Macaca mulatta: one gene and its partners. The protein of the gene in region 1 interacts with the protein of each later gene in a biochemical or structural test. Links are inferred from orthologs where the notes say so. Each region holds a gene or a part of one and is shown in the gene's direction. Other genes may lie near its edges. The genes, in order: RPS6KA1, HTRA1, GRID2IP, LIMK2, MAST2, PDZRN4 and MAGI3.

The links.
Region 2: the proteins of RPS6KA1 (region 1) and HTRA1 interact in a test that uses a peptide from one of them, tested with the Homo sapiens proteins (2 studies listed by BioGRID and IntAct, with this or other methods). The link is inferred for Macaca mulatta from reciprocal best matches to the Homo sapiens genes RPS6KA1 and HTRA1.
Region 3: the proteins of RPS6KA1 (region 1) and GRID2IP interact in a test that uses a peptide from one of them, tested with the Homo sapiens proteins (2 studies listed by BioGRID and IntAct, with this or other methods). The link is inferred for Macaca mulatta from reciprocal best matches to the Homo sapiens genes RPS6KA1 and GRID2IP.
Region 4: the proteins of RPS6KA1 (region 1) and LIMK2 interact in a test that uses a peptide from one of them, tested with the Homo sapiens proteins (2 studies listed by BioGRID and IntAct). The link is inferred for Macaca mulatta from reciprocal best matches to the Homo sapiens genes RPS6KA1 and LIMK2.
Region 5: the proteins of RPS6KA1 (region 1) and MAST2 interact in a test that uses a peptide from one of them, tested with the Homo sapiens proteins (2 studies listed by BioGRID and IntAct, with this or other methods). The link is inferred for Macaca mulatta from reciprocal best matches to the Homo sapiens genes RPS6KA1 and MAST2.
Region 6: the proteins of RPS6KA1 (region 1) and PDZRN4 interact in a test that uses a peptide from one of them, tested with the Homo sapiens proteins (2 studies listed by BioGRID and IntAct, with this or other methods). The link is inferred for Macaca mulatta from reciprocal best matches to the Homo sapiens genes RPS6KA1 and PDZRN4.
Region 7: the proteins of RPS6KA1 (region 1) and MAGI3 interact in a test that uses a peptide from one of them, tested with the Homo sapiens proteins (2 studies listed by BioGRID and IntAct). The link is inferred for Macaca mulatta from reciprocal best matches to the Homo sapiens genes RPS6KA1 and MAGI3.

What each region holds. Positions count from the first base shown.
Region 1 is NC_133406.1:214,427,756-214,431,504, reverse strand, and holds part of RPS6KA1 (ribosomal protein S6 kinase alpha-1), read left to right. Parts: intron 1-1,048; coding exon 1,049-1,179; intron 1,180-2,981; coding exon 2,982-3,107; intron 3,108-3,301; coding exon 3,302-3,391; intron 3,392-3,746; coding exon 3,747-3,749. UniProt on the Homo sapiens protein: Serine/threonine-protein kinase that acts downstream of ERK (MAPK1/ERK2 and MAPK3/ERK1) signaling and mediates mitogenic and stress-induced activation of the transcription factors CREB1, ETV1/ER81 and NR4A1/NUR77, regulates translation through RPS6 and EIF4B phosphorylation, and mediates cellular proliferation, survival, and differentiation by modulating mTOR signaling and repressing pro-apoptotic function of BAD and DAPK1.
Region 2 is NC_133414.1:134,542,853-134,547,250, forward strand, and holds the start of HTRA1 (serine protease HTRA1 precursor), read left to right. Parts: upstream 1-1,385; 5' UTR 1,386-1,448; coding exon 1,449-1,923; intron 1,924-4,398. UniProt on the Homo sapiens protein: Serine protease with a variety of targets, including extracellular matrix proteins such as fibronectin. HTRA1-generated fibronectin fragments further induce synovial cells to up-regulate MMP1 and MMP3 production.
Region 3 is NC_133408.1:44,506,354-44,510,092, forward strand, and holds part of GRID2IP (delphilin), read left to right. Parts: coding exon 1-54; intron 55-188; coding exon 189-275; intron 276-938; coding exon 939-1,068; intron 1,069-1,154; coding exon 1,155-1,273; intron 1,274-3,739.
Region 4 is NC_133415.1:20,306,631-20,311,090, reverse strand, and holds the start of LIMK2 (LIM domain kinase 2), read left to right. Parts: upstream 1-1,470; 5' UTR 1,471-1,610; coding exon 1,611-1,626; exon of another isoform or gene 1,627-2,694; intron 2,695-4,460. UniProt on the Homo sapiens protein: Serine/threonine-protein kinase that plays an essential role in the regulation of actin filament dynamics. Acts downstream of several Rho family GTPase signal transduction pathways.
Region 5 is NC_133406.1:194,801,747-194,806,138, reverse strand, and holds the start of MAST2 (microtubule-associated serine/threonine-protein kinase 2), read left to right. Parts: upstream 1-1,590; 5' UTR 1,591-1,872; coding exon 1,873-2,049; intron 2,050-4,392. UniProt on the Homo sapiens protein: Appears to link the dystrophin/utrophin network with microtubule filaments via the syntrophins. Phosphorylation of DMD or UTRN may modulate their affinities for associated proteins. Functions in a multi-protein complex in spermatid maturation.
Region 6 is NC_133416.1:48,096,642-48,101,124, forward strand, and holds the start of PDZRN4 (PDZ domain-containing RING finger protein 4), read left to right. Parts: upstream 1-1,599; 5' UTR 1,600-1,713; coding exon 1,714-2,361; intron 2,362-4,483.
Region 7 is NC_133406.1:126,867,640-126,872,143, reverse strand, and holds the start of MAGI3 (membrane-associated guanylate kinase, WW and PDZ domain-containing protein 3), read left to right. Parts: upstream 1-1,649; 5' UTR 1,650-2,179; coding exon 2,180-2,495; intron 2,496-4,504.

The sequences.
Region 1 (3,749 bases):
GGATCTTGGCTCACTGCAAGCTCCACCTCCTGGGTTTACGCCATTCTCCTGCCTCAGCCTCCCTGGTAGCTGGGACTACAGGCGCCCGCCACCCGCCCGGCTAGTTTTTTGTATTTTTTTTTTAGTAGAGATGGGGTTTCACCGTGTTAGCCAGGATGGTCTCGATCTCCTGACCTCGTGATCTGCCCGTCTCGGCCTCCCAAAGTGCTGGGATTACAGGCTTGAGCCACCGCGCCCGGCCAATTTTTGTATTTTTAGTAGAGACGGGGTTTCACCATGTTGGCCAAGCTGGTCTGGAACTCCTAACCTCAAATGATCCACGATGGGGTGCTTTTCTCACTGTACTTGCACACCTCTGATGACAGGGACAGCAGTTCTCTAAGCAGTCTGCTGGGCAGTGTGACAGGTGCAGCTTTGTAGGAGTCAGGGGCCAGAGAAGCAGCATGAGGCAAGGCTTCTCAGAGGAGGGAGCGAGTGAGCTGAGTCCTGAAGGATAGGCAAGCAATGGATTATCTAGTTAAAGGGAACAGTGTGTGCAAGGGCTCAGAGACCCCTTTAAGGATCTGGGAAGTCCAACGTGGCTCAGCTGTGGTGTGGAGAGAGAAGAGGAGGATCACAAGGCCCTCCATTGCCAGACTCAGAAGCTGGGCTTACTCCTGAAGGCAGAGGGGCACCTTTGAAAGGTGCGGGCAGGGTGGTAGATTTGTGGTTGGAACCTTCCCTTTGGCTACTGTGCAGGGATGGACCTGAAGGGGCTGATGTAAGACGGAGAAGCTGGGGAGGGAGCATCCAGGAAGGGACGAACTGTCTTGGCCTGGGATGGAAGTGGATGTGAGAGTCTTTAATGTTCCTCATGCATCAGGACTGGACTGGTCTAAACACATATGAGCAGTCGGGCTAAGGCCTGGGATGGACAGGCCCTCTGCAGGCTCCTGCCATGGCCAGCCCCTGAGGCAGGTCTCAGGCCCTGTGCTCCCCCTTTGCTGGGCTGCCTCAGGGTCGAGGGGACCTCCTCAGGTACCCTCACATTCCCCTCCTGCCCCTACAGATTCCCCAGGCATCCCCCCTAGCGCTGGGGCCCATCAGCTGTTCCGGGGCTTCAGCTTCGTGGCCACTGGCCTGATGGAGGACGACGGCAAGCCTCGCGCCCCGCAGGCACCCCTGCACTCGGTGGTACAGGTGAGGGGGGCAGGGGCTGCTGCTCCGTTATCCTTTTCTAAAGAATGGCTGTGAATACAGGCTCTGAGTTGGACAGAACCGGGTTCATACCCTCGTGCCACTGTGGGACCCGTAGGGTCTCCAACATAAAACAGGGACAGTAAGGCCCACCTCACACTGTGGCCCTGATAATTGGATGATGATATGGCTATACATTTCCCAGCACAGAGCAGGGTCTGGGTACATGCCAGGGGGTGCCCAGGGTGATGGTGCAGAGTGACTGTCGTGTCTCTGGCATAAGGGTAGCAAAGAACTTGTATCTCTTCACACTTGTTCCCCATTTGTACACTTCCACTGCCTCATGAAAGTTTCAGGTTGAGAGGCAAGAATGTAGACTGTGCAGCTCATTGCATGGGTTCCAGATTCACAAGATAATGGACGTTGGGGTTTTTTTTGTTTGTTTTTGAGACATAGTCTTGCTCTGTTGCCCAGGCTGGAGTGCAGTGGCACAATCTCAGCTCACTGCAGCCTCCACCTCCCAGGTTCAAGCAGTTCTCCTGCCTCAGCCTCCCGAATAGCTGGGACTACAGATGTACACCACCACACCCAGCTAATTTTGTTGTTGTTGTATTTTTAGTACAGATGGGATTTTACCATGTTGGCTAGGTGTCAAACTCCTGACCTCAAGTGATCCACCCACCTCAGCCTCCCAAAGTGCTGAGATTACAGACATGAGCACCCGACCAGATAATGGACTTTAGATGAGATACTTCCCTTCCTGGTGCCTCAGTTTCCTTATCTGTAAATGGGGAAATGATAGAATCTTCCTCCATAGAGCTATTATGAGGATTATTAGAGTTAATACATGTAAAGTTAAAGTGGGCTGGGCACAGTGGCTCATGCCTGTAATGCCAGCACTTTGGGAGGTCGAGGAGGGTGGATTGCTTGAGGCAGGAATTTAAACAGACCCGTCTGGCCGACATGGTGAAACCCCATCTCTAAAACTACAAAAATCTGATGGGCGTGTTGGCATGTGCCTATAGTCCCAGCTACTTGGGAGGCTGAGACACGAGAATTGCTTGAACCCGGGAGGCAGAGGTTGCAGTGAGCCGAGAATGCACCACTGCACTCCAGCCTAGCAACAGCGCAAGACTCTATCTCAAAAAATAAATAAATAAAAAATAAAGTTAAGGTGACTATGTAATTTATTTTCCAAACTGGGACATCTTTATCCAGGACAAATATTAAATCAGACTGGATGCAAGGACCGCAGGCGCAAGCCAGGGCTGGCCGTGGGGCATGTAGTCACCTGATGAAAGTGCTTAGAATACTGCCTGGCACGCAGCACACACTAAGCACCATTCAGCATTGCTATGGCTAATGTCCCAGAACCTTGAGACACCCCCTGAGTTGAGCTGTGACACCCCAGAAAGGGGAGGCAAGTCACTCAAAGCCATACTTAGTGGCACAGCTGGAACTCAGCTCAGGGCTCCTGCGTCCCTCCCAGGCCTGCCCAGGCTTTTCAGAACTAAAGTCCTCTCCATGTGTGTTGTGACCCTCTTGCCCACTCCCTGCGCTGCCCTCTGACCACAGGCTGCAGTCCAGGCAGGCTGGGAGCCAGCGAGTATGCCCAACATATAGAGTAGAAAACTGAGGCCCAGAGAGGGGCAGGCTCTCACCTGCAGTCACATGGCCAACACTCTACGCCAAGTCTCCTGGCCCTTCCCCGGTGCTGTCTCTACTGAGCCAAGACCTTGAATGCTGGGAGATGACCCTTAGCACTCTGGAGCCAGGGGTCAGCCACAATTTTTGGTCTCCTACAGCAACTCCATGGGAAGAACCTGGTTTTTAGCGACGGCTACGTGGTAAAGGAGACGATTGGTGTGGGCTCCTACTCTGTGTGCAAGCGCTGTGTCCACAAGGCCACCAACATGGAGTATGCTGTCAAGGTGGGCCTCCTGACCACGTCTCAGCCAAGGCTGCCGGGCCGGGGGCAGGTCCCCGTCTGGTGGGGAGGGGTGGTGCCTGAGCTCTGCAGATGTATGAAAGATTGTGTGGCCGAGACCTCCAGGCCTGCTCCATGGCAAGGAAGGACCCTGGAGCCTGTCACCCTGACACTGCCACATGCACCCACTTTCTTCAGGTCATTGATAAGAGCAAGCGGGATCCTTCAGAAGAGATTGAGATTCTTCTGCGGTACGGCCAGCACCCCAACATCATTACTCTGAAAGATGTGAGTGGGGTGGGGACCAGGAACTCGACTCTCTAGGATTTGTCTCAGGGTTGCCATTCCTTTGACTTCTCATCCTCTTTCCGGTGGTCATGTGGAGGGGAAAGAGGTCCCTTGGTCCCTCCAGTCTGCCCATCCCCCAAGGGCCCTCCTTCAGACTCAGGCATTTTCTGAGGACGTTCTTGCCTATCAGGGGACCAGTGTCAGCATCCTCCTTTTGGGGAAGGCGGGGCCACTGAAGAGCAAGCAGAATACCTGCCTAAGGCTCATGTCATTCTTCCCTGCTCTGGGGCGCTGCTGACCAGGGGGCCCAGGCCTGACACTGGGGAGAAGAGCCTGATGGTGAGGTCTTCGGCAGGTG
Region 2 (4,398 bases), on another chromosome or scaffold:
GGGAGTCAGCATGGGGACCCCAACAGCTTTCCCATGCCCCAGGCTCCTGGGCCTTTCTGAGGGACCCCTCTGGACTTTGGACATTAACAAGGTTCATATTTGGAAGGTGCTTTGAGGGGGCTTATAAGTATTTGGAGTTTACTTTTTAAACTATTTGTATTGGAAAAGTAACGTGTGCACGAGGGAACAACCCAAATACAGAAGAATATTAAAATCTCCAAGCCCCCAGCCCCCTCCCTTGCTACTGTATCCCAAAGTCAGCTCTGCCGGCCCACCCAACCGTGGGTGCCTCTGCCCAGGGTAGGGTTGGAGGTTTGAGGGTTTCGGATGAGGGCTGGGCGAACCGCCTCCTCTCAGGTCCTTGGACGCGAGCTGTACCCATCTGCTCAGTGTGGACCCAGGACTACTGCCCACAGGCCTGGTGCTGCCTGGGCACCCAGACCCACCTCCAGGGTCGCCCTCGGCCCTCCTGATGACTCTCAGACTCGCATCTGTCCCAAAGGCTGCACCAAAGATTCTCCAGTGGAAAATCAAATTTTTGATAACAAAAGTGTTTTGAAATAATCACGCACGTGGTGAAAAATTCAAACAGGAGCAAACCCCTTTCCCATCTGAGACCGCTGCACCCTCTCCAGTTACGAGCCTCCCAGCTGCTTCCTGAGCTCTCTGCGAGTACGGACACGCGTGCCACCCACAACAACTGTTTAAAAGAATCAGACGTGTGAAGGATTCTGTTCAAATTACTTCTGCTCTCTGCTTTTATCACTTCACTGTGGGTCCGGGCGCGGGCTTTCTGGCAGCTCCGCGGACGCTGCCTTCGTCCGGCCGCACAGGCCCCGCGGTCAGGGTCCCGCATGCGGGGTACCGGGGGCAGAACCAGCGCGTGACCGGGGTCCGCGGTGCCGCCAACGCCCCGGGTCTGCGCAGAGGCCCCTGCAGTCCCTGCCTGGCCCAGTCCGAGCCTCCCGGGCAGGCCCCCAGTCGGGCGATTTGCAGGAACTTTCCCGAGCGCTCCCGCGGGGAGACGCCGCAGGGCCCCCTTGCAAAGTTCCTTTAGTTTGAAGGACGCGAATCGCAGCGAGAGAACCTGCGGAAGGCGAATATGTGGGGCGCGCAGACGGGGAAACTGAGTCCCGCGAGAGGGCGGGTCTGTGCACTGCCCCGCCCGCGCCCCACGAGCTCCGCCGTGCCCGGGCGCGCCCGCCCTGCCCCCGCCGCGGGCGGTCCCGGTCCAGTCGTCCGCCCTCCCGCCATCCGGTCGGCCCCCCTCCCGGGCGCCGTGCCCGTCCCCAAGGCGGCTCGTCACCGCTGCGAGGCCAATGGGCTGGGCCGCGCGGCCGCGCGCACTCGCACCCGCTGCCCCCGAGGCCCTCCCGCACTTTCCCCGGCGCCGCTCTCCGGCCCTCGCCCTGTCAGCCGCCACGGCCGCCGCCGCCGCCAGAGTCGCCATGCAGATCCCGCGCGCCGCGCTGCTCCCACTGCTGCTACTGCTGCTGCTGGCGGCGCCCGCCTCGGCGCAGCTGTCCCGGGCCGGCCGCTCGGCGCCTTTGGCCACCGGGTGCCCCGAGCGCTGCGAGCCGGCGCGCTGCCCGCCGCAGCCGGAGCACTGCGAGGGCGGCCGGGCCCGGGACGCGTGCGGCTGCTGCGAGGTGTGCGGCGCGCCGGAGGGCGCCGCGTGCGGCCTGCAGGAGGGCCCGTGCGGCGAGGGGCTGCAGTGCGTGGTGCCCTTCGGGGTGCCAGCCTCGGCCACGGTGCGGCGACGCGCGCAGGCTGGCCTCTGTGTGTGCGCCAGCAACGAACCGGTGTGCGGCAGCGACGCCAACACCTACGCCAACCTGTGCCAGCTGCGCGCCGCCAGCCGCCGCTCCGAGAGGCTGCACCGGCCGCCGGTCATCGTCTTGCAGCGCGGCGCCTGTGGCCAAGGTACTCTGCCGCGCTCCTGGGCAGCACCCCATTCTCTCCATCCCAGCTCGGACCTGCTTCTGCGGGACTGGTGGGCAGACCGAGGGGCAGTGAAGCGTTGCGGGGTGGCCAGGGCAACTCTCGGGGACAGGCAGGTGGGCCCCGGGGTGGCGGCTTTCCGCGGGCTGCCTCGGAAACGAGCTTCGCGCCCAGCCCGGGGCCGGTTCTGCGCCCAGACGATGCCGGTGCGCCGGGCCTGCACTCTGGGGCTCGAGACGCCTGGCGACCTGCCGCGGAGCGCCCTGAGGGCAGCCACACAGCGCGGGGAGCCGAGGACAAATAAGAGGAGTGGGGGCATAAAGGGAGGAGAGAAGTTCAGGACTAGGAACTGGAGCCTTGCAGAGTGGCTTCAGGACCACAAGAAGTCATTTCTGTTGCTTTTTCTATTTGCTTCCTCCGTCCCCTTTAAAATGCATTACTTTGATCACGGGACCGCTCCGTGAAAACTGTATGTAACTCTTTTGGAAAGGAAGAGTGTTTGCCGGCCCCCGCCGGAGTTTCCCCAAAAAGTCTACCCCGGGCAGGGAACGGTTTGGCATCGCACTCGTTTCGGCGGCGTTGCTGCCTGTGTTGCTTTCCTCGTTTTGAGCCAGCCCTACAAAAATGAAAGTGGCTCCTTTTGAATAAGCTGAATCGGGCTTTGGATCACGAAATCTGCAGAGGCGTAGAAGGGACCGGGTTAGTAATGAGGAAGGAGCCTGCCCCTCCCTCCTGCCGCATACAGGACCTGTTCGGCAGGGGAGATGGTGGTGATGGGGGCAGGAGTGGAGTGGAGCAATGTCTAACTCTCTCGCGGGACCTTCCGGAGAGATGCTTCCCATCTTCAGGCAGAGGCCATGTGGAAGAATAGTATCGAGTTCAGCGGCGGCCAGTCCCGCGGTGTAGAACCAGACAGCGGGGCTTGGCAGTGCGCTTAGGCGCAGCCATGCGGCTGCTGCCCGACCCCAGCGCTGCCTCCTCAACTCGGGCAGTGCCAGGAGAGGGGCATAGGAGAGCACAGTGCAGAGGGACTGGTCTAGATTTTACTTTATAGGAATATGGTTCAGTATGACCAACTAGGACTTGGCATAGTTTGGCTTACATGGACCGGAAGGTGCCAGAGCCGAATTGGGTGAAATTCGAGATTGTGTATTTCACTAACGCAGGAGCACAGCCCTCGGGAAACTCAGCCTAGTTAGGCAGTAGAGAGTTGTCCCGGAGACAAGTGATCCCGCAGACTAGAGAATGGGCATGATGATAGCACACGCCTATTGAGCACTCAGTCTGTGTGCCGGGTGTGTTACCTCTGTGACCTCATTTGGTCTCATGAGGAGGGAGTTTCTCCTCTCTCTCTCTCTCTTTTTTTCTTCTTAAGAGACAGGGTCTCCCTCTGTCGCCCAGGCTGGAGTATAGTGGTGTGATCATGGCTCACTGCAGCCTCCCACCCCTGGACTCAATGATTCTCCTGCTTCAGCCTCCCAAGTGGCTGGGGCTACAGGCGGATGCCACCACACCCAGCTTCTCATTCCTGTTTTACAGATAGCGGAACTAAGGTTGAAAAACTTGCCCAAGGTCACTCAGCTGGAGTTTAAACCCAGATAGCCTCATTCAGAGGAGTCAGGCCAGCACTTAACTCCAAGGGTGTGGGAGAGGGGTCAGGTGCTGTAAATTTCCCGGTGGGTTGGACTTGCATCCCCCTCAGAGCCAGGAACAGCATACACAAAGCCTAAGACTTGTTTGGAGGTGAATAGATCAGTGTGGCTGGGGGATGTTTGGGGAGGGCAGCAGGAGTGAGCCAGGCTGGTGGCCCAGAGTCCCAGGGCTGAAGAGGCTGGCTGTGCCCCGGGCCCTGTGTGCAGATGTTCTTGAACTGGGGCAACTCAAAGCCTAGTGTAGTGTAGGGCTGACCTAGCAGTGGTGTGCGGAATGCATCCAGGGTGGAGAGTTTAGACTACTGCAATAATCTGGGTGTGAGGCAACAACATTGAAAAAGCATGTTTTTGTCCAAAACAAGCCAGCTGTTACTGGTCTCGCTGTTTGTGGTCTCATTGCACGGGGTCCTGAGTTGCTGGCACCATGCGAGTCGCCTAATTTATTGCTAGTGAGGCAAGTTGCTTAATAAGCTTTGGAGTTGGCTGAGTCCCTGTGTGGAGGAAAACAGGTCCCCCATTGGCCATCAGGCTCACGGCGGGCCCCGGTGTACCAGTGAGGGGACAGCCACAGAGGGATAAGCATGGTGGCTTTGAAAGGAGGGAGAGGCAGAGTGGGTACAATGCTGTTTTTATCCCTCCCTCCTTCTTTTGCAAATATTTGTTGAGCTCCGTAGGGTGTCTGACACCGTTTGCATGTTTGTCTGGCACACCAGAGGCACTTGGTACGAGTGGATTAGTGAATGAATAAATGAATGAATGAAGACAAATGGGAGGTGCTTTCGATACACAGCCATTCTGTTTTTCC
Region 3 (3,739 bases), on another chromosome or scaffold:
CGCCAGGCCTCCCTGGAGCTCAAAAACAGTCGGAAGCTCGCCAAGATCCTGGAGGTCAGGGGGCATACCCTCCCTGGCACCCTATCTGCTTCTCTGCCTCCTGGGGCTTCCAGCATGGAGGCCCATCCAGAGAGCAGGGTGGGTGGGTGGTGGTGGAGGACAGGACCTGCCCACCTTCTCGTCCACAGTTTGTGTTGGCCATGGGCAACTATCTCAACGATGGACAGCCCAAAACCAACAAGACCACTGGCTTCAAGATCAACTTTCTGACAGAGGTGAGGGGGCCTGCCAGCAGCAATTAACTGGTTTGCTCTAGCAGCAAGGCGCTGACGCCAAGCCTAGCTCAGTTGTGGCAGAGGGCAGGAGAGGACATTGTGACCAAGGAGGGCTCTTCTCCTAGCAGGAAAAGGGCTACATTGAAGCCAGGATGTGACTGCAGCAAAGGGTGGGGTGTGGTGGTGTAGGGGAACACACTCCCAGGATTTGGAAAAATGGAGTGAGGGGAAAGAGTTGGAAAGAGAGTGTCAAAGGCTGGGGATTGAGCTGGATGTGGTGGCTCATGCCTGTAATCCCAGCACTTTTGGAGGCCAAGGTGGGAGGATCACTTGAGGCCAGGGGTTGGAGACTAGCCTGGACAACATAGCAAGACCCCAGTTCTACAAAAATAATTGGCCAGGCATGACACATACCTGTAGTCCAAGCTACTTGGGAGACTGAGGTGGAAGGATTGCTTGAGCCTAGGGGTTTGAGGCAGTAGTGAGCTATGATGGAGCCACTGCACTCTGGTCTGGGCAATAGAGCAAGACCCTGCTATTTAAAAAAAAGGGGGAGGGGCAAGAATTGATCACTGATGCCACAGTAGTCCAGGAGAAGCTGGGCCCATGTGACCCCATCTGATGGGGTCCTTGATGGGGATGTATGTTGGGGGTCACTTGCAGCTGAACTCCACCAAGACAGTAGATGGGAAGTCCACTTTCCTGCACATCCTTGCCAAATCGCTGAGCCAGCACTTCCCTGAACTCCTGGGCTTTGCTCAGGACCTGCCCACCGTGCCCCTGGCTGCCAAAGGTATGCTGGGTGGGTGGATGAGGCAGAGGCATGCTGTCCTGGGCTGGGAGAGTGGCCCCATGTGGCCTCTGTCCTTTTCCCTACAGTGAACCAACGGGCTCTGACCAGCGACCTGGCCGACCTCCATGGCACTATCAGCGAGATACAGGATGCCTGCGAGAGCATTTCCCCCTCCAGCGAGGACAAGTTTGCAGTGGTCATGTCAGCATCCTCTAAGCAGCCTGTTCCTGCACCAGGCTGGATGGTGGGATGGTTGGGTGGAGCTGGCTATGGCTCCAGTGGCCACTGGAGACCTTGACTTCCTGCAGAGATTCTGGGCACAGGCTGCTGTGCACCCAGGGTTCCTGGAAGAGGCTCCATGCTGGGCTGTTTATTGATTGATTGATTGATTGATTGGGACAGGGCCTCACTCTGTCACCCAGGCTATGCCTGGCTAATTTTTGTATTTTTAGTAGAGACAGGGTTTTGCCATGTTGCCCAGGCTGATCTCAAACTCTTGGGGTCAAGTGATCTGCCTGCCTCAACCTCCCAGAGTGCTGGGATTACAGGCATGAGCCATAACACCGTGTCCCATCCTGGATTATAAATTTATTTTATTTTATTTTATGTATTTATGTATGTATGTATTTATTTATTTTATTTTATTTATTTTTTGAGACAGAGCCTTGCTCTGTTGCCCAGGCTAGAGTGCAGTTGGGCGATCTTGGCTCACTGCAGCCTCCGCCTCCCAGGTTCAAGCTATTCTCTTGCCTCAGCCTCCCAAGTAGCTGGGATTACAGGCACCCACCACCACATCTGGCTTATTTTTGTATTTTTGGTAGAGACATGGGTTCACTGTGTTTTCCAGGTTGGTCTTGAACTCCTGACCTCAGGTGATACACCTGCCTCAGCCTCTCAGAGTGCTGGGATTACAGGCCTGAGCCACTGCGCTTAGCCCTGGGTCATTTACAATCCCAAGGCATTTATAATGCCAAGTCTGTGCGTAACTGAAGCCAGGGCTCTTTTGAGTGCCCCAAAGCCACTGTCCCATCTGTCCTCTGGGGCACTGTAGCCCAGAGCTAAGTCTCAAAATTACAAGGAGCAGCCTGTCAGGGTGGGACATTCCCACTGAGCCCCCCAGCAGGGCCTGGCCAGTGGGTGACAGAGGCCCAGATAGGAAGACAGGCAAGAAGGGCATGTGGCACTTCTCCCTGCTCCCCATCTCTGGCTCCAACACCCCTTGGCAGGGAACACAGGGTTTTCCCTAAGGCTGAAGCTAGGTAAGGAGGAGAGGTCTGGGGGCTGTGCCTGTGGCCAGGGCAGTAGGTGATGAAAGCGCCTGTCACATATCTCTGACTGCAGCACATGGGGCCTGGTGCGGGTGAGTGTCTGAGTAGGAATTTGATGTCAGATCCACCCCTGCCCCTTCCTCTTAGGCAGAAGATCTGCAGAGAATCATTAAGCAAACTCTACAGCTTGGGCAAGGTGCTTTTCACCATCTCCTTTCACCCACTTCACACCCAGATTTTTGTTTTGTTTTGAGACGGAGTCTCGCACTGTCGCCCAGGCTGGAGTGCAATGGCGCGATCTCGGCTCACTGCAACCTCCACCTCCCAGGTTAAAGCACTTCCTCTGCCTCAGCCTCCCAAGTAGCTGGGTTTACAGGTGCCCACCACCACACCCGGCTAATTTTTTGAATTTTTTAGTAGACACGGGGTTTCACTATGTTGGTCAGGCTGGTCTCAAACTCCTGACATCGTGATTCACCCGCCTCGGCCTCCCAAAGTGCTGGGATTACAGCCATGAGCCACCGTGCCCAGCCCACCCAGATGTTTTGCAGATGTGAAAACTGAGGCTGTTTAGGTGAGGGTTAGTCCACTCTAGCATCCCTCAGTCTAGGGGTATTGGCCTGCTTCCTTGGGCTTGGAGGTCCCCAGAGACAAGACAGATGGTCACATTCAAGGGTAGCCTCTGGGCCAGGTACAGTGGCTCATGCCTGTAATCCCAGCACTTTGGGAGGTCAAAGCTGAGAGATCACTTGAGGCCAGGAGTTTGAGAACAGCCTGGGCAACATAGCGGGACCCCATCTCTACAAAAGAATTTGAAAATGAGCCTGGCATGGTGGTGCATGCCTGTAGTCCCAGCTACTCAGGAGGCTGGGGCTAGAGGATCACTTGAGCCCAGGAGTTCAAGGTTGCAGTGAGGTATGATCACACCACTGCACTCTAGCCGGGTGACAGAGTGAGACCCTGTCTCAAAAATAAAATGAAGGCAGTCCAGGCACGGTGGCTCATATCTGTAATCCCAACGCTTTGGGAGGCCAAGGAAGGCAATTCACCTGAGGTCAGGAGTTCGAGACCAGCCTGGCCAACATGGTGAAACCCTGTCTCTACTAAAAATACAAAAATTAGCCAGGTGTGGTGCCATGTGCCTGTAATCCCAGCTACTTAGAAGGCTGAGGCAGGAGAATCACTTGGACCCAGGAGGCGGAGGTTGCAGAAAGCCAAGATCGTGCCATTGCACTCCAGTCTGGGCAACAGAGCAAGACTCTGTCTCAAAATTAATTAATTAATTAATCAATTAAAGGCAGCCTCTGCAAAGGAAATTGACCTGGCATATCAGACAGGCATAGGCCCAAATCCTGACTCATTTGCTTACCTGCTGTGGGACTATGGGCAAGTCACTTACCGTC
Region 4 (4,460 bases), on another chromosome or scaffold:
AGCTTGTCAGGAGAGTCCCTGGATTCCTGTCACTTTAATTCAGTACACAATCTTGTGTTTACTATACTGATTTCCTTAGAAACTATAAAACTGAGTACTGAAAAGAGTTCCCAGGAATTAACGGAAGTGGAACAGAGCCTCCCCAGCACTTTGTGCACACTCAGGACATCGTGAGCCACCTGCCACACCCAGAGGAGAAAAATCTGGCATCCGGTTTGAATTAGAGCAGGAAGAAAGAGAATTGTGCTCGCCTTTGCCTTTGCCTTTACTTAACCAACTGCTGGGACCAGAGGCAGTTGGGTTGAACTTTGTCTTTGGTTAGGGGTGGGGGGCGCGGGGGACAGAATCCATTTCCCTGGGCCCCATCCTCTTTCTGGTCATTTGGACACTTTTCCCGTGATCTAAATCTGATCTAAGGAAATGACAATTGTGAAAGACCCAGGGTGAGAGAATCCGATGGGAGGGTGGGTCATCAGGGACCAGCTGACCTGGCTGATGATGTGTTAATACCTTAATCACACAGAGGACCCCAATCTCCTTCCAAACCTAATGAGCGGAAGTGGTTCTCAAAGCTACTCAGCCAGCTAGCAGCTGCCATAACCCAGTCAGCTGTCCTAACTCAGTCCTGTGATCCCTCCTCCTCATAGAAGATTCTAAACTGGCAGCCCACAGGGCAAATCTAGTGGCCAAGTGTGTTTCATTTGGTCTACATGGCATTTTAAAACCTTTTTGATGCTATCAACATTTTTAAAAGTGGCAAATTTCACCTAAACATCTGGATTTTTGGCATGTTTTGAAAAGTTGGAAGACCTGGGAATGGTAGGCCCATGTTCCTGCAGAGGAGTGCTCGTCTTCCAATGGGGCGCACAAGCTCCAGCGTCCTGCGCTCATTTCTGTACCTAATTGGCCTGGCTGAGGATCTGCTCCTCGAAAGCTGGTTGGTCGCCTGCAGCCATCTTTGACTTAGCGATTATTTACTGTCCGCTTACTCATAGTGGCGCAGAGAAGTGGTTTCTCTGAGCTAGAAGCTTCTAAGAAAAGTCCATCCTCAAAGCTGTTTGTGGGATAGACCTGGCTCCTCCACTGTAATATTCCTGATTTCAAACACTACTGGAAAGAGCTCTGGACTGGCAGTCAGTAGGCCTGGGCTCCCATCCCAGCTCTCCTCCTAATGAGCGAAGCCATTTCGAGGTAGTTGAACTTGGCCTCTGATCCTTAACTTTCCCTATCTGTAAAATGAAGGCGACTAGATGGGTGCGGACTAGATCCGTGTTGAGCCTTCTGGCCCACGCAGAATCAACCTTACCAGCCGGAGCACCTCGAGGGTACACCGCTCGCACTAGGGGGCGCCAGGGCCGCTACAGAGCCAGAGCCAGAGCCTGGGGGCGGGTCCTGAGAGCGGCGGGGCGGGGCCTCGGCGGGCAGTCCCCGGTGCCAGGTGTGGTTTGGTCCTCCCGGGGCGCCGTAGGCAGTGCATCCCGTTCGCGCCTGGGGCTGTGGTCCTCCCGCGCCTGAGGCGGCGGCGGCAGGAGCAGAAGGGAGCTGTACAGAGCTGAGGGGAGTTGCTGTGTCCCCCGCCTCCTCCTCCCCATTTCCGCGCTCCCGGGACCATGTCCGCGCTGGCGGGTAAGGAAGGGCTGCTCCGCCCTGTCCCGCTGTTATCTCCGAAGCCCAGGTCCATGGCGCCTGAGGGAAACTGGCGGTCTCGGGTGTTTCGGGCTGGTTGGATCCTCGTGGGTTCCAGCTCCTCAGAAGAGCTGGGAGGCGGGGTGGGCACAGCGCTCCCCAGGCATTTGGAGGGTGGGACTCTGGGAATGGGGAGGTAGGGCATCCTGGAGACAGAGGGCTCGGAGGGGCAGACGGGTTGGGCGGCTTCCCGCGAGTTGAAGTCCCCGGGAGGAAGAGATTCTGGCTTTGCCAGGAATCCAGCTTTTTGGAGGAACCTGGCGGCCGCAGACTCCCAAATTAAAGCCTTTTTAAGGAAGTTGTAAAGCATGGGGTTCACTTAGAGTGGAAGCTCTGTGGAATTTGAGGAGTACAGGATTCTCTAGGGTTCAGGACAATTAGGAGAGTTACCCGGGGTTCTGGGTTTTCTGAGGGAAATGAAGGAGGATGTGACTTCCCTGCCAGGACCCAAGGCTTCTCGCGGGCATCTTGGTGCCTGGGATTTCCCCGGGGCTGGGAGCTCTTTGCAGAATATAGGGGAGTATGGAGCCCCTTGAGGTTTAGGATAGGACTAAGGGTAAGGAGAGATCGGACCATTCTTTTTGGGGCTCAAAGATCTCTGCTACAGGTGAGGAAAGTAGACCGCCTGGGGTTCTGAGTCCTCCCGCGGAAGCTCCCTTGGCCTCTCTAGACTTAAAGACTAGAGGGATGCGGCCAAACACCTCCTGGAAGGAAGAGTTATCTTAAAGGTGAAGGGTAACTTCAGAGTTGGGTTAGCTGCTCCTGCCGTCTCCTCCCCGTCACCTCACACACCACCCTGCAGCTTCCTGCCTTTCCCATCTGTTCCCCCAGCAGCAGGAACCTTCTGTCTCCTATGTTTCCCAGCCACCTGTGTGGGTGGCCCAGCCTCTGGGTCCACCAGGGTCAGCGTCCAGAAGCTTTGGAGAGGCGGCAAGAGGCCATTGAGGTGGAGGGGGGCTGGCTATCTGCCCCCTGCTTCCTGGCTTTCCGTCTGTGGACGGTCACTTCCTTCATCCTGAATACAAGGACTGGGCTACCAGTGGGTCACTTCCTCACCAAGGGAGCATGGGATTTTCTCCTCATTGGTGATAATAGACTTCTGGAGAGGGCTGGGGGTGGAAATGCCTAAAAAAATTTTCCTGTAATCCCAGCACTTTGGGAGGGCAGGGCAGGAGGATCGCTTGAGTCCAGGAGTTCGAGACCGGCTTGGGCTATATAGCGAGACCTCATCTTTTAAAAACAAAGCCTTGTCTCTTAAAAAAGATTTTTTTTTAAGCTTACAAAATTCCTCAACTCAAATGATCTCCAGTAACTTTTTTTTTTTTTTTTTTTTTGAGTCGAAGTCTTGCTCTGTCGCCCAGGCTGGGGTGCAGTGGCACGATCTCGGCTCACTGCAACCTCTGCCTTCCGGGTTCAAGCGATTCTCCTACCTCAGCCTCCCGAGTAGCTGGGACAACAGGGGCCTGCCACCACGCCCGGCTAATTGTTTTCGTATTTTTAGTAGAGATGGGGTTTCACCATATTGACCAGGCCGGTCTTGAACTCCTGATGACCTTGTGATCTGCCCACTTCCGCCTCCCAAAGTGCTGGGATTACAGGTGTGAGCCACCGTGCCCGGCCGATTTCCAGTAACTTTTTCTAACAGCTGTGTAATATAGGTTGCCTGTCTTGAACCCTGTTTCTTAGAAATTTGTGAAAGGTTTCACAGTACAGTAGTCTAGAGGCATAAAGCCTCTAGATGCACTAATTTATGCATTCTTTCATTCAAAGAATATTTGTTGGATTCTTCTTAGCTAAATGCTGAAGAGTACAATGGTGACATAGTTCTTGGCTTTGTGGTGCTTATAATCCTAAAAATGGACAATAAATAATTATAACAATTGCAATAAATGTTAACAATTGCAATACATAATAGTTGAGGTAAACAACTGAGATAAGTGCTGTAAGAGTGCACCAGGGGTGAGGGGTATTCTCTATTTTTCTGTTTTGGTAGAGACAGGGTCTCACTATGTTGCCCATGGTGGTCTTGAATTCCTAGTTTCAAGCCATCCTCCTGTCTCAGCCTCCCAAAGTGCTGGGATTACAGGCATAAACCACCATGCCCATCTTCTACTTTTTTTTTTTTTTTGAAGGGAATACTTTTCTTAAAACTGCAAGTTTATGCTGACCCCTGGAGATAAGTAAAAGTTAGTCTGGCAAAAAAAGCTCACAGAACATTCCAGGCAGAGGAAACAGCATAAAAAGGCCCTAGGGTAGGAAGGCATGTAGTGCCTTTGAGCCTTCGAGCTGGGAGGTCAATATGGTTTTTTGCTTTTTTTGTGGGGGGTGGGGAGGCAGAGTCTCACTCTGTTGTTGCCCATGCTGGAGTACAGTGGCGTGATCCAGACTCACTGTACCCTCCACCTCCCGGCTTTAAGTGATTCTTCTGCCTCAGCCTCCTGAGTATCTGGGACTACAGGGAAGCGCTACCTCGCCCAGCTAATTTTTTGTATTTTTAGTAGAGACTGGTTCTCACCATGTTGCCCAGGCTGGTCTCAAACTCCTGAGCTCAGGCAGTCCACCCACCTTGGCCTCCCAAAGTGCTAGGATTACCGGCGTGAGCCACTGCGCCCAGCCAAGTATGGCTTTTTATTTATTTATTTATTTTTTTTTTTGAGACGGAGTCTTGCTCTGTCACCCAGGCTGGAGTGCAGTAGCACGATCTCGGCTCACTGCAAGCTCCGCCTCCCGGGTTCACGCCATTCTCCTGCCTCAGCCTCCCGAGTAGCTGGGAC
Region 5 (4,392 bases), about 20 Mb from region 1:
TTGTTCATTTATTGGATGTGAGGAAAGGACAAGGAAGGAGTCCAGGATGATTTCCAGGTTTCTGGTTGAGGTAACTGGATGGGTGGTGAGGAACTGGGGCAGGGAATAGAGGAGCAGGCTGGTGACAGGCTTTAGAGCACATTGGTTATGTGTGTCTTGCCCTTCTCCCAGAAGGAATCCATCACTTTTTCCACTTTTTTTTTTTTGAGACGGAGTCTCGCACTGTCTCCCAGGCTGGAGTGCATTGGCGTGATCTCGGCTCACTGCAAGCTCCCCCTCCCGGCTTCATGCCATTCTCCTGCCTCAGCCTCCCGAGTAGCTGGGACTACAGGCGCCCACCACTACGCCCGGCTAATGTTTTTGTATTTTTAGTAGTGACGGGGTTTCACCATGCTAGCCAGGATGGTCTCCATCTCCTGACCTTGTGATCAGCCCGCCTCGGCCTCCCAAAGTGCTGGGATTATAGGCGTGAGCCACCACGCCCAGCCCCCACTTTTTCCACTTTTATAGGAGTTTCCGCACTGTCTTTCTGTCTGCATCTGACAGACCTGGGTTTGAGTCCTGGCTCTGGACTTATAAGCTGTGTGATGTTGAGCATATTATATAACTTGAGCCTATTTCCTCAACTGTAAAATGGAAATACAACTTCTTGTTTGTGTATATGTGAATTGAATGCATAGTGTGTGGTATCCAGTGGGCACTCCGCAGTGTTGGCTATTTTTACTACTCAGAAAGGGGTTAGGGAAGAGGCCCAGGACAAATCAGTGAAGGCTTTAGGCAAGGCTTCTAGGTCAAAAGAGGAAAAACACAACATGTGGCAGACCAGCTGAAGCCAGAGGGAGGCCAGAGCTGAGCTACCACCACATGTTGCTGAGCAGATGAGTCACTGCAGGCAGCAGGTCAGGCTACCCAGGCCACAGCAGACTGGGCTGGGCTCTACACGATGACTTCATTGTATGCCTTTTTTGTCCTCTCCTCCTCCCAGAAGGAATCCATCACTTTTTCCACTTTTATAGGCGTTTCCACACTGTCTTACTGTCCGGAAAGAGCAAACACAGTGGAAAGGGACAGAAAAGCCAGAATTACGTCTAGTTTGATCACTAATTTGCTGGGTGACCTGGTGCATTTCACTTCGCCTCAGTGTCTTTATCTGTAATATGAGAATGCGCAGATTTGCCTCCTAAGTGTGATGTGAGAATTAGGTGAGGGTTGGCAGGAACTAAATAAAATGGCACGCATTAGCCTTCTATTCATTAGTTGTGTTATTCTGTCTCCTTCCTGCTCCCGGCCCCTCTCTCCCTAGTTCCTTGAGGACACCGATGGACTCGAACTCATTTTTGGGTCCCCAGCACTGAGCTTGGGCCGGCAATTTCATGAATGGATGAATGAAAGATTCAATGGGAGTCCGCAGCCGCTGCTGGCGCGCTGAGAGCCCCGCCCCCTTCTGGTCCTCCGACTGCGCGCCAGGGCCACGGGCGGGTCCTTCGCGACCGTTCCCTGGCGCGTGCGCGGGAGGCGGCGCGCGGCCGGAGGTGGCGGGCGGGCTCCCGGTGCGCGCGCGTGAGGGGCGGGGCCGGCCGGAGGCTGGCTGTAGGCAGGCGGCTGAGCCGGCGGCGGGTGGCCTGCCCAGCGTGTGCCGGGTGGCGAGGCGGGGCGGCAGCGATGCTGTCTCTTCCGTGAGGAGCGCAGAGAAGGTCGCGGCGCCGGAGGCCCCAGAAGGCTCGAAGGCGCCGCTGGCTGGGGTCGGTGGCTTCGGGCGTCCGCCCGGCCATGGTGGCCGCGGGCGGTGGTTGGCGCGGCTGCGCTGCGGCCCGGGGCAGTGCGGGGCCGGGACAGTCGCGGCGCTGACGCCCGCGGGCCCCAGCTGCAGATATGAAGCGGAGCCGCTGCCGCGACCGACCGCAGCCGCCGCTGCCCGACCGCCGGGAGGATGGAGTTCAGCGGGCGGCGGAGCTGCCCCAGTCCTTGCCCCCGCGCCGGCGAGCGCCGCCCGGGAGGCAGCGGCTAGAGGAGCGGACGGGCCCCGTGGGGCCCGAGGGCAAGGAGCAGGTAGGGCGGGTTGGGATCCGGGCGGGGGAACCTGAATGGAAGCCGTGGGGGAGGGGATCTCCGGCGGGAGGACCCGGGCTGGAGCTTTGGAGGGGTGGGGTCTGAATAGTTACGGGGGAGGAGTGGGAGGTCTGGGGAGGCCGAGAGATGGGGAGTGGAGAAATGGAAGTGGTGGCCTGGGGTTGAATTGGAAATGGGGGAGTAGAAGAATGAAAAATTGGTGCAGGAGGTAGTCAGGGGTTCTGGATGGGGCGAAAGGACGCTGGAATGTGGGCTGAGTGTGTGAGCTGCAACGAGTAGGCTTACTAAAGAGGCGTTGAGTTATCCATAGGAGTAAATAGTGTAAGATGGGGAAAGTCAATTTGATATAGTATTATCCTGTTTCCTAGAGGTTGTCCTTAAAATTGTAAAAACGGATGACACTCCCAAGCATTCTCTGATTTGGCCATCATTATACTTTTGTACCAGTGTGTTCACAATCATTGTTAAGGCTCTCTTTACCAACCATCTATTTCACAAGAAAGCACGTGTGAAACACCTGCATGTGAGCAGTCTTAAGCCCAATTTTGTGAACAGAATTCGTAGATCTATCGTTTGCCTTCTAGTTTTCCACTGAAATACATTATTGGGAAAACACAGCAGCATATAAATATTCATGGAGTTTCTGAATGAACAGGACGTGTTTATATAATTTATTAGTCAAGAGTAGGTGTATTTATGAGTAGGGGATAAAGGTCAGTTTTATCAGGCAGGAGAAGCTGCCACTAGTAGCGGTAGTAAGTTTAGTGAAACGATAATAAGTGATCCTTGGTCTTGTTGGATTTGCAAAAAAATGTCCTGTAGTAATGAACTCTAGTGACAGCTTTCCTTTTGTTCAGTTCTATTCGGAATCCTAGTGACTTCATCCTTGAATATTTTAAGACTTCTTATAGGTCTCTTACCTCTTTTCTCTCAGATAATTAGCATTTTCCTTAGTCACTTTTTTTTTTTTTTTGAGACGAAGTCTCGCTTTGTGGCCCCGGCGAGAGTGCAGTGGTGCTATTTTCGGCTCACTGCAACCTCTACCTCCTGGATTCCGGCTATTCTCCTGCCTCAGCCTCCCGAGTAGCTGGGATTACAGGTGCCCATCACCATGCCCAGCTAATTTTTTTTGTATTTTTAGTAGAGACACGGTTTCACCATGTTGGCCAGGCTGGTCTCGAACTCCGACCTTAGGTAATCTGCCCGCCTCGGCCTCCCAGAGAGCTGGGATTACAGGCATGAGCCACTGTGCCCGGCCCTTTAGACGCTTTAAAAATTATATACCATGCTAGGTAGCCCTTGGACTTTTCCCCTGTTTTGTTCTTCCACCTCTTATTCCCCACTGAGCCCTGAGGAGACTGCACCATTGACCATCTCTGCCCCTGCTTCCAGCTGCTGAGCATTGTCCTCTTGCTGTATTTACTCCCCCGTGTGCCTACCACTTGTCTTTTACATTATCTACAGTATCATCTAGTCAAAACTTGTAAAGTGAACTTGAAGTCCAGATCCTTTCCTGTCTCAGTATACCTGTCCAGTTGACCTTACTGCATATTTCATGGAAGAGTTCAAGATTACTTGATTTTTCCCTCCTCTTTATATTATGATTTTTGTGTTTACTCATCCTTAGCTTCAGTCTCAGAGAAAGAAGTATTCATCCTCCTCTCTGAGGCTAATTTCTCTACTTATGTCCTTGATTTCATCCTCTTTTGTTTGCCTTAGACCCTTGTTATTCTCTTTGTTTTATATCACAAATAAAAACAAAACAACATAATTGCCCTGAATTGTGTAACCTACCCAAACTACTTTGTTATCTCTTGTTTCCCCAGCAACCTTCTTGAAAAATGAGTTTGTACTCAGTGTCTTAGCATCCTCACCTTGTATACATCCCTAATATGGTTTGGCTTCTTCACTTATACTTTCCCAAAACTTGATGTCTTTAAGGTCACCAAAACCTTTTTTTGTGTAGGATTACTTGTTTATTGAGGTTTGACAAATCAAAGGTTCATTCAGTCCATGAAATATTATAGAATGAGTACCTGTATGATCATAACTCACATGAGGATGGAGAACATTCCCAGTAGCCTGGAATGCTCCCTGTGCTTTCTCCTAGCGCTACCCTTTTACAGATGTAACCTTCCTCACCACCTCTGTCAGTATAGGTTTGTTTTGAACTAATACTTCATATAAATGGAATCATAGTCTACTCTTTTGTGACCAAATTATTTCATTCAGATCATGTCTTTTTTTTTTTTTTTTTTTTTTTTGAGACGGAGTCTTGCTCTGTTGCCCAGGCTGGGATGCAGTGGCCGGATCTCAGCTCAC
Region 6 (4,483 bases), on another chromosome or scaffold:
AATTCTAGAACATGCATCTCCAGTTTATGCAATTCACAAAAATATTTTCATGCTGTTAATGTTAAATGATTTCTTATTTAATCAGAAATTTATTGTTTGCCTATTTATTTGTAGCAAGACAGGTCAAAAGAGAGGGGGAAATTCGGAACATAGTGGCAAATGTTACTTTATCACATATGAATCTATATGTATTAAATGAGAAATACAGCATCTTATTTTGAAAAAGAGTTTAAAAGCATATTAAACATCTAGCACACCAATCCTCACGGGTCACTGAACAGCTAACAAAATCTCATCTTTCATACGGAAAGAAGGCTCAGAAGGTTATTAACCTCTATTATTAGTCTTCGCTAATTCTTCGGTTAGCTCCAAGGATTTAAAAGACAAAGTCTGGAGCTGTTCTCATCAATTCCAACTGATGCCATTGGTGTCATAGAGAAGTACAAGCTTTCCAGGAACAAGGCTCAACTGGCAGCAAGGAATCATCAATGATGAATTTATAAAACCCACCCAAGCATCTGGTAGCATCTTCAGGATAATGGCAGTAAGTAATATGCAGCCAGGTGACAGGATCTCTTTGCATTCCTAAGATTCAGAAGATGGTAAAGGAAGTGGAGTAAGAAGGGTTTGGAATCATGCCCTACTGCGTATTTTCAGGACGGCTTGTCATGGTACACAATTTGAAGAGTCAAACTGGGAGGGGAGGCAATTTGGATACAAAGGGTTCATTCAGGGTAAGTAGAAGGAAGCAGCCACTAAGATTTTATTTATATTTCACTGCTTTCTTTCATCATCCTTACCTTTAATTTTCCCTTCCAGGTTCCCAAATGATCACATTCCCGTCCCCAGTAGTAAAACGCCTGTGGAAGTAGAAGATGGATGCTGTGGCAACTGAACCTGGAGTCAGACTCAGAATCCCAGCTTCCTCACTCGGGAGCAGGCCTTGCATGGCTGTTCAGGGGCTCCTTAAGAAGGCAGTGTCCTGAGGCGGGCGCTTGGCTTTTTCCCCATCTTTGCTGCTAGGTGGAGGATCGCGCCTTTCTAACTCACCTGATTTCTGGATCATGGTTTGAGAAGCCTGGCTCTGTGGATTTCCTAGTGTTATTTTCCTAATAGTGATTTCCTAAAGTAACAGTTTCCTAACTTCTGATTTTGTAGTTTTGATGTGAAAGAAACAAAAGTGCTTCTATTTCAAACATATTGGAGATAGACTTGACGCTGGGCGGGCCATGAGCATTCAGCGGAAAACCAGATAGACAAAAAGATTCTGCTCTCCCGAAGCTTACATTGCGGTGGATTTAAAAGTTGTTTCTCAACATTAGCGCTGTACCCATCATCAGCCCTACCCAGGGCGAGGAGCCTCGATGCTTGAAGTCCACTGTTCAGGCAAAGGAGAATACAGTGTTCCCAAGGACCATTGTAAGCTGGCGGCCAAAATTTGAAAGAACGTAAATCGCAGGGCAGCGAAGGAGGCGGGGGTCTCTGGAGGTTACTTCTATTAGCGTCAATACGGGAGAAGTCAGGGGACCTAGCAGGAGCCTGAAAACTTCAAGCCAAACAAACTCTGAGGTCACACCTCCCACCCGCCACCTCTCTCCGACTAGCCACTGCCGCCGCCGCGAGGCGGCTGCCCCGGGGGTGGGCCGGGGAAGGCAGGGGGGCTTGGAGAAGACGGACTCTGCTTTCACTCCCCCTTTCTTTCCTATCCCTAACATGGGCTTTGCCCTGGAGCGCTTCGCGGAAGCTGTGGACCCGGCTCTGGAGTGCAAGCTGTGCGGTCAGGTGCTTGAAGAGCCCCTGTGCACGCCGTGCGGGCACGTCTTTTGCGCCAGCTGCCTGCTGCCCTGGGCGGTGCGGCGGCGCCGGTGCCCGCTGCAGTGCCAGCCCTTGGCGCCCGGCGAGCTGTACCGGGTGCTGCCGCTACGCAGCCTCATCCAGAAGCTGCGCGTCCAGTGCGACTACCGCGCCCGCGGCTGTGGCCACTCGGTCAGGCTGCAAGAGCTGGAGGCGCACGTCGAGCACTGCGACTTCGGCCCTGCCAGCCGCCTCCGCAGCCGCCCGAGCTGCGCTTCGGGGCTGGGCTGCGGGGAGGTGCCCGCGCGGGGGGGCTGCAGTCCGGCACCCGGGGCTGGCCGGGGCGGGGGCGCGCGCGGGGGGCAGCCGAGCGGCCGCTGTGGCCGCGGGCGGGGGCCCAGGCCTCGGGTCCTCGCCTGGAGGCGGCGCGAGAAGGCGCTGCTGGCGCAGCTCTGGGCGCTGCAGGGCGAGGTGCAGCTCACGGCGCGCAGGTACCAGGAGAAGTTCACCCAATACATGGCTCACGTCCGCAACTTCGCCGGCGACCTGGGTGGCGGCCACCGCAGGGTAAGCAAAGGGGGGTGGGCACCGCCGGCATGGTCGATTGGGGTGGGAAGAGGAACGGTTCTTTCTGACACTTCAGGATTCCTTTGGAATTAGGCATCCTTCCTCACTGTGCAGCAGGAAGCATCACACCCTGATCATTACTTTCCTGTCATTATCTTTCGAATGGATTGTCATCGAAGTAAAGGATCGTCCCTTTTCTGCTTATATTACGATTGGAAAGAGTTAAACAGATTCGATTCTAACTTTGTGCCGGGAAAGTAGGAATTGGGAAAACTCGTTTTCCATCCAGACTTACTTTCTCCATCTTTCAGCCTCCTGCCCACCGTCTCTGCCTATTTTTTGAACCCTTGTCCCGTGCTTGAAGCAAATCCGAGAAGGAAAGCCGGAAAGCACAGACTTTCCCCGCCCAGCCTTTCCTCTCCCGCGGCAGCCAGCATCCCCGCGGCCCTGGCAGCCGCACACCTGGGACTGGTGTCAGTGCTGATGACACTTGCGCTGCCACTGCCTGAATCAACTGCCTTCTACTAAGTTGGGGACTGTGAGGCATGTAGGGGCCAGGACGGCCTCAGGAGCTGAGAGATGGGGTTTCTTAGACTTGCAGAGTTCTTTTCATCACTCTGACTTTCCCTAAATAAGCCTTCCTTGCCTCGGGATCTCATTATTGGTGGAGAGAGAGACAGAGATTGAGATTGTGTGTGTGCGACCTGGGAAGTCCAGTCCGAGAGCCTCCATCTGTGGTCAGACCGGCCCTGAGAGCCCCCAGGCAGTGGCTGTTTCCCTTCTTTGTCTAAGCTTCTGGCCCCGAGCTGCGCTCCTGGTCCGCCCGCCCGCTTTCAGGCCGAATAAACAAGCCTCTTTGCAGCACTCCGTGTGAAGAGGCTTGTTTATAAAGCTGTAACTTCTCTCCTGGAGGACTTCTGCGCAGTGTTTGACATTTTTGGTCGCTGCCATGGTGAGCAGGCATTTAGCAGAATTTGCGATCCATTCAAGGAGCTGTTTTCATTCTTCAGCACTCCCGGGGAGGAGCAACCCAGAAAGATTCCCATTTGGGACTGGCTGCTGCATACTGCCTCCAACTCAGGCACTGAGTTTAGAAGCGCCTGTCTTGAACCTAAATGAGAACGTTGAAGTGAGAGGGACTAAAATGTTTCCACCTTGATGAATGGATGCACACTGTGTATGAAAAGACTGGTTTCAAGGATTCTTTCTCTAGTCCATATATGCATATACATACATGCATATATACAGGTAAATTTACAAAATGGGAGGACCCAGGGAAAAGCACAGATAGAAGCTTTGTATTACCAGTCCAGGTTTCAAGGTCTAGGAAACCAGTGGTTGAAGGAAAGGAGCAACAGTTAGAATAATATTACAGAAAAGTCCATGCAACAAGTCAAGCTATGATTCTGAGAAGTGAGAAAAACTGCCCATGATTTGCAGACTAGCCAAAACCCTCTATGTGTTTCTCAGAAATGTTTTTCTCCTACCAGTAGGGGCTGCTCTGTGCACTGCCTAGGAAAAGCTCCTGGGAAAATATCGTGATGCTGATAGTAGTGATGATGATGCATATGGAATGTTATCATTCAGAAATAATTTCCAAGTAAAGGTTAATAACATCTATAACCATGAATAAACCCACCTAGCCCAGCACTAATTCATCCAATGTTTAAGTTAGTCTTTACTAATAAACATTGTAGCTATAATTCTTGTTTTACTATTATTCGGCCAGCAGGAAAAAAAAATGCATACTACTTTACCAAGCACAAACCCTTATTTTTTTATTCTGCAGGAATTATGCAAAACCAAGTAGGAATATTATTTAAAATTAGGACTACAGTAGCCTAACATATTCTGCATTACAACAGCAACATGAATATTATGACTAAAATTTATAAATAGTTCATGTTTCTTAAATTCCTTAAGACTTTACAAAATAAAAATTTTACACTATTGATAATTTATATTTTACTTTTCTGTAATGGAGGGAAAAATAAAGATACCTCCAAGGTTTAACCAGAAATCTGTTTTCAATTACAGTGAAATCAGATTTAGATGCTGCATTAGGATAAAAGAGCTGCATGTCTCAAAATGCAAAGCCATTCCGTAATTTTTGAAAATAGGG
Region 7 (4,504 bases), about 88 Mb from region 1:
CTTTCCCCTGATTGGACAGATCTAGGAGTTGTAGCCTCAGGGTTCCAGGCTTCTCTTGTGGTTTCCCACACCCTGCCCACATCTTTGCAAAATGCCATTTGTTTCCTGCCAGGACCCTGACTGATACAATGATGTCAACCAAATCACTGCAGCTATTGAAGTTTGGTCCAGTCTATCCGAGGTGTGGTGAGATTCTGTGGAGTTAAATAAGGGCTTTCACCTACTATTGAAGGGAGACAGGAGACTACACAAATAAATGGCATGCTGCAGAAGTGAAACAAAGATCATAGCTCAGAGAAAACATTTTCCACTTGAGGGCAAGAAATCAGAGAAAGCTACCTGGAAGAGCTGGCATTTGGGATGATGACGGATAGGAGTTTTAAAAGAGATGGTTTGAAGGGCATTCCAAAGACAGGGAAGAGTGTGAGTCAAGCCGGGGAAGAGAGAAAGCTGAAGTGAAGTTTTCGAAAAATTAGAGCTGGAAGGGATCTACGGTATCTTTTATTTGATGTTCGCTCTCCCTTCACCTCCTTTAACTGAGATTTGGCCAAGGTCAAACAGCAAGTCAGTAGCACGTCAAGACTCCAACCAGGTCTGCTGGCTACCAGGCCAGTTCTTAATAATCCACCTCTACCTCCACCCCGCCCCCTCACCTCAGGCAGTCTGCTTACTTCTCAGTCTCTCCCACTAGACTGTAACCTCCTCAATAGCGGGGCTTCTTCACCCTTGAATCCCAGTACCTAGCACAATATCTAACACAAAATCGTCATCGTCATCATCATCATCAGCAGCAGCAGCAGCTACCAAACTTTAAGAGGGATCCACACACTGCCCGGCACTATGCAGTTATTTTGTACATCTTCTGGAATCTTCACTTTTCATTGAGGACGCTGCGGCTCAGAGAGGTTGTCTAATTTGTCTGAGGTCACACAGCAGTTAAAGTGCCGGACTCTATTTTATAATATCTTTCATCAACCGGACTCCGAAGCCCTGCCTCAATGGGCGTTCATTCAACATTTGTTGAATGAACGAATGAACAAGAAACACCCACTCAATGCAAGCTATCGGCTGTAACAGGCCACCCTAGAGGCCCCGGAACCTTGGCAGGGTCAGGACTCCGCACGTTGTCTTCCAATCTAAGCACACCGGCCCCTCTCAGCGCCCCGCACAGACTCGGAGGCTCCGCCTGCGTCTCCGCCTAACTCGCCGGCCACGCCCCCACTTCGGGGAGTTCGGTCACTCTCGGATTCGCGTTTTCCTCGGCTCCAGCAGCCGCGCAGAGGGCCTCTCCCGGCCCTGCGACCTGAAGCCCATTCCACTCCCCTGCCCCTCCTCTGCGCCCTCCCTCACTCTCCAAACTTCTTCTTTCCACCCTCTCTAAACTTCAGTCATTCTAGTGCCCGCCTCCTCCACTCGCACCGACCAACCAGTGGTCCTCATTCTCGTTGGCGGTCCGCCCCCTGCCCGCCGGGGGCCAATCCCTGGCGCGAGAGTCCGGGGCCGGGGCTCGTTCCCAAGCGCCGGGCCTGTGACGGCAGCGCGCCGGGCGCCGCGCGGCAGGAGGGGGCGGGGCTCTGGATGAGGGATGGGCGAGGGCGGGGGGAAGGGAAAAGGGAGGAGGAGGAGGTTGCGGCGGGTTTGAAAGCGGCAGTTTCCTGGCAGCTTGGGCAGGCGTTGGTCTCCGCGCTACAGCTCCGCAGCGGGCACGATCGATCCCGCGACGGGTCTACGCGCGCTTCTGCGCGCCCCCGACGGATTTTTCCCGTTCCCGGCTCTTCCCCCTTCACCTCACCGCCCCCCCGCCTCAGCCTTTCCCGCCGCTCGGGCGCTGCGCCCGGGGACCAGCCGGCGGCAGTGACCCCGCCCGAAGCCCCTTTTGGAACCGCCTGGGGACAATTCCCTTTTCCTTTCTTCAGCCTAACCTGCGCTGGCCCTCGCGGAGTCTGGTCAGCCCCGGGGAGCGCAGCTGGGAGGGGCGTCCAAGAGGCGTCTCGGAGCCTTTACTAGTCTGGGAGCGGCCGGGCCCCCAGCGGGCTGTGGTCACCGGGTGGGGGCCGGAGCGGCGAGGCCCCCCTGACCCGGCTGCGCGGGCCGCCCAGGGCCCCCGGGCTGAGACGGGGCCGGAGCGGCGCCCCGGCCGCCCGCGCGGGGTCTCCCCCATGGTGCAGCGGGGTTCGGGATGTCGAAGACGCTGAAGAAGAAGAAGCACTGGCTCAGCAAGGTGCAGGAGTGCGCCGTGTCCTGGGCCGGGCCCCCGGGCGACTTCGGCGCGGAGATCCGCGGTGGCGCGGAGCGTGGCGAGTTCCCCTACCTGGGGCGGCTCCGCGAGGAGCCCGGCGGGGGCACCTGCTGCGTCGTCTCCGGCAAGGCGCCCAGCCCAGGCGATGTGCTGCTGGAGGTAAACGGGACGCCTGTCAGCGGGCTCACCAACCGGGACACCCTGGCTGTCATCCGCCACTTCCGCGAGCCCATCCGTCTCAAGACTGTGAAACCAGGTACGCCGGCCCTGCGTATCTGCCGCGGGGTGTTGGGTACAGGGGCGCCAGGGTGGGCGTCCTGGGAGCGACGGCACCTCCCCACCGCGTATGGTCCGGGTTAATCTTAGACCTCTAGGGTGTGCCTGACTCCTTGACGAGGGGGAGGGGTGGCGTTGGTGAGTCCCATTTTGCCGATGGGAAAACTGAGCTCTGGCTTGGCGAGGTTGCCCTGCTAGCTGTGTTAGCTGTCACAGAATTGCGACTAGAAGCTGAGTTTTCTATATTTGTAGCTCCATCTCCCCCCGCAGACAAGAGTTTTTGACTAGAGAAGGCCAGCCTTTTCCGCTCTCTGTTGTGCAAAAAGGTCCTTAGGATTGTAGCATTTTCTTTGGAACGATCTTACGCATCTTCTAACAGGGAAAAAGGGTCTTTACTATAGAAGTACTTGGTGCCAAGGTTACCACCTAGTGTACCTGGAAGGGCTTAGCTGCTTCAGTGTTTCTTGCACACTAGCAGACATCTCGGAGCTGTCAGCCTAACTCTGTCAGTCCAGGTGGTTCAGGTGTCTGAGTACCGATGAGGGTACAATATGTGATATGTGGCCGACTGGTGTGTGCTTTCAGGGAGCTGTTGAAGAGAGTCTGGGTTTTGAAGGAAGACTTAGGTGCCTAGCGGAGTGAAAGCTTCTGTAACGCTTTTGATTTTACAGAATTTTGTTCAAGTGGTGGGTTAAAGGAGGCTCTTTGCCCTGGTATCTTTTATGCTAGTAAAATTTGCTGCAAAGCACGTTACGTTTATGGCATACTCGTCAGTTTCAAAGCATTGATCAGAGACAGCATACAGTGAGATCTGATAGTATGTAGTAGTTCTTATGAATTTGTTATAGACAGCATTGTTGGTTTTGTTTCAGCATAGATAGAATGTGATTCTGTCGTCTTAGATGTTTGTGGGAGAGAGAATGGTGATTGTAACGTTATTAGAAACCAAACTGTTTTTCCTGAATGTGCTCTACTGAGTATACGGTGCATCAAAATATAATGGGCTGCTTAATTGTTACCTGGGCTAGGTAGCAGTCCACCCTTGATGGCAAAATGCTAGAAAATTCTGGAGAAAAATTTAATATGTTATCTCCTTCTCATTTCTTTCTCAGCAGCTCGCTTTGGAAATATTAATATATCTTTAATAGTCCTTGAGCTTAATGGGGCTTGATGGTTTGTGGTGCGGTTTACATATGTCTGTGTATTGTGGATATATATACACACAGACTCACATGCTCCTAAGATCATAATTAAGATTTTCTTTCTATAGCCTATTCCATCGTATTCATTTTAAATGTATGGGTTTATGTAGTGAGGTTTTCTTTTTATTGTTGTTAATTTTTTAAAACTTTGGCAGACTTTAAACAGCTTTTTCTGTATAGTTTTGAGAATTTGTAAAATTTTTTCTTAACGCTAACTTTTACAGTGTGTGAAAGGCAGAGGAAAGACTTTTGGGGCTGTAATTCAGCCAGTCACGCACTGTGTGTAATGTGCAAAAGACTATATAGACAGCATTTACTAGTCTAGGTGCCAAATCTTAGTTCAAATCCCATGAGTCAGTGAATAATGAGAACATCTGCATCATTGCTTTGTGTTTTGTTTTGAGTAGTTGGGGCAAAGATGAAAATATAACGTATTTTTAGAAATTTTAAAGTTGATATATTGACATGGAAGCTGGTGTCTTCTAAATTATTGTGATTTTTTTTTTTTAGAAGACCGAAGAGATGGCTATTTCACATTAGTCTAATCTACCTGTTATACATTTTCTCAACCTTTGTATTATATTTAACAATAATTCAAGATTTAGAGTATTAGTCATATTAACTGTGTTAGATAAGCATCCTATGCCCCATATGTAGTTGACATTATTAGAGTAATACAGTTTTACCCTCTTGACAGCCATAGACACTGTTCTATTTTAAAGATTTAGCCAAAATAAAGGGAATAACATATTAATGGTCGCAGAACATTTTGTAGTCATTAGTAGTA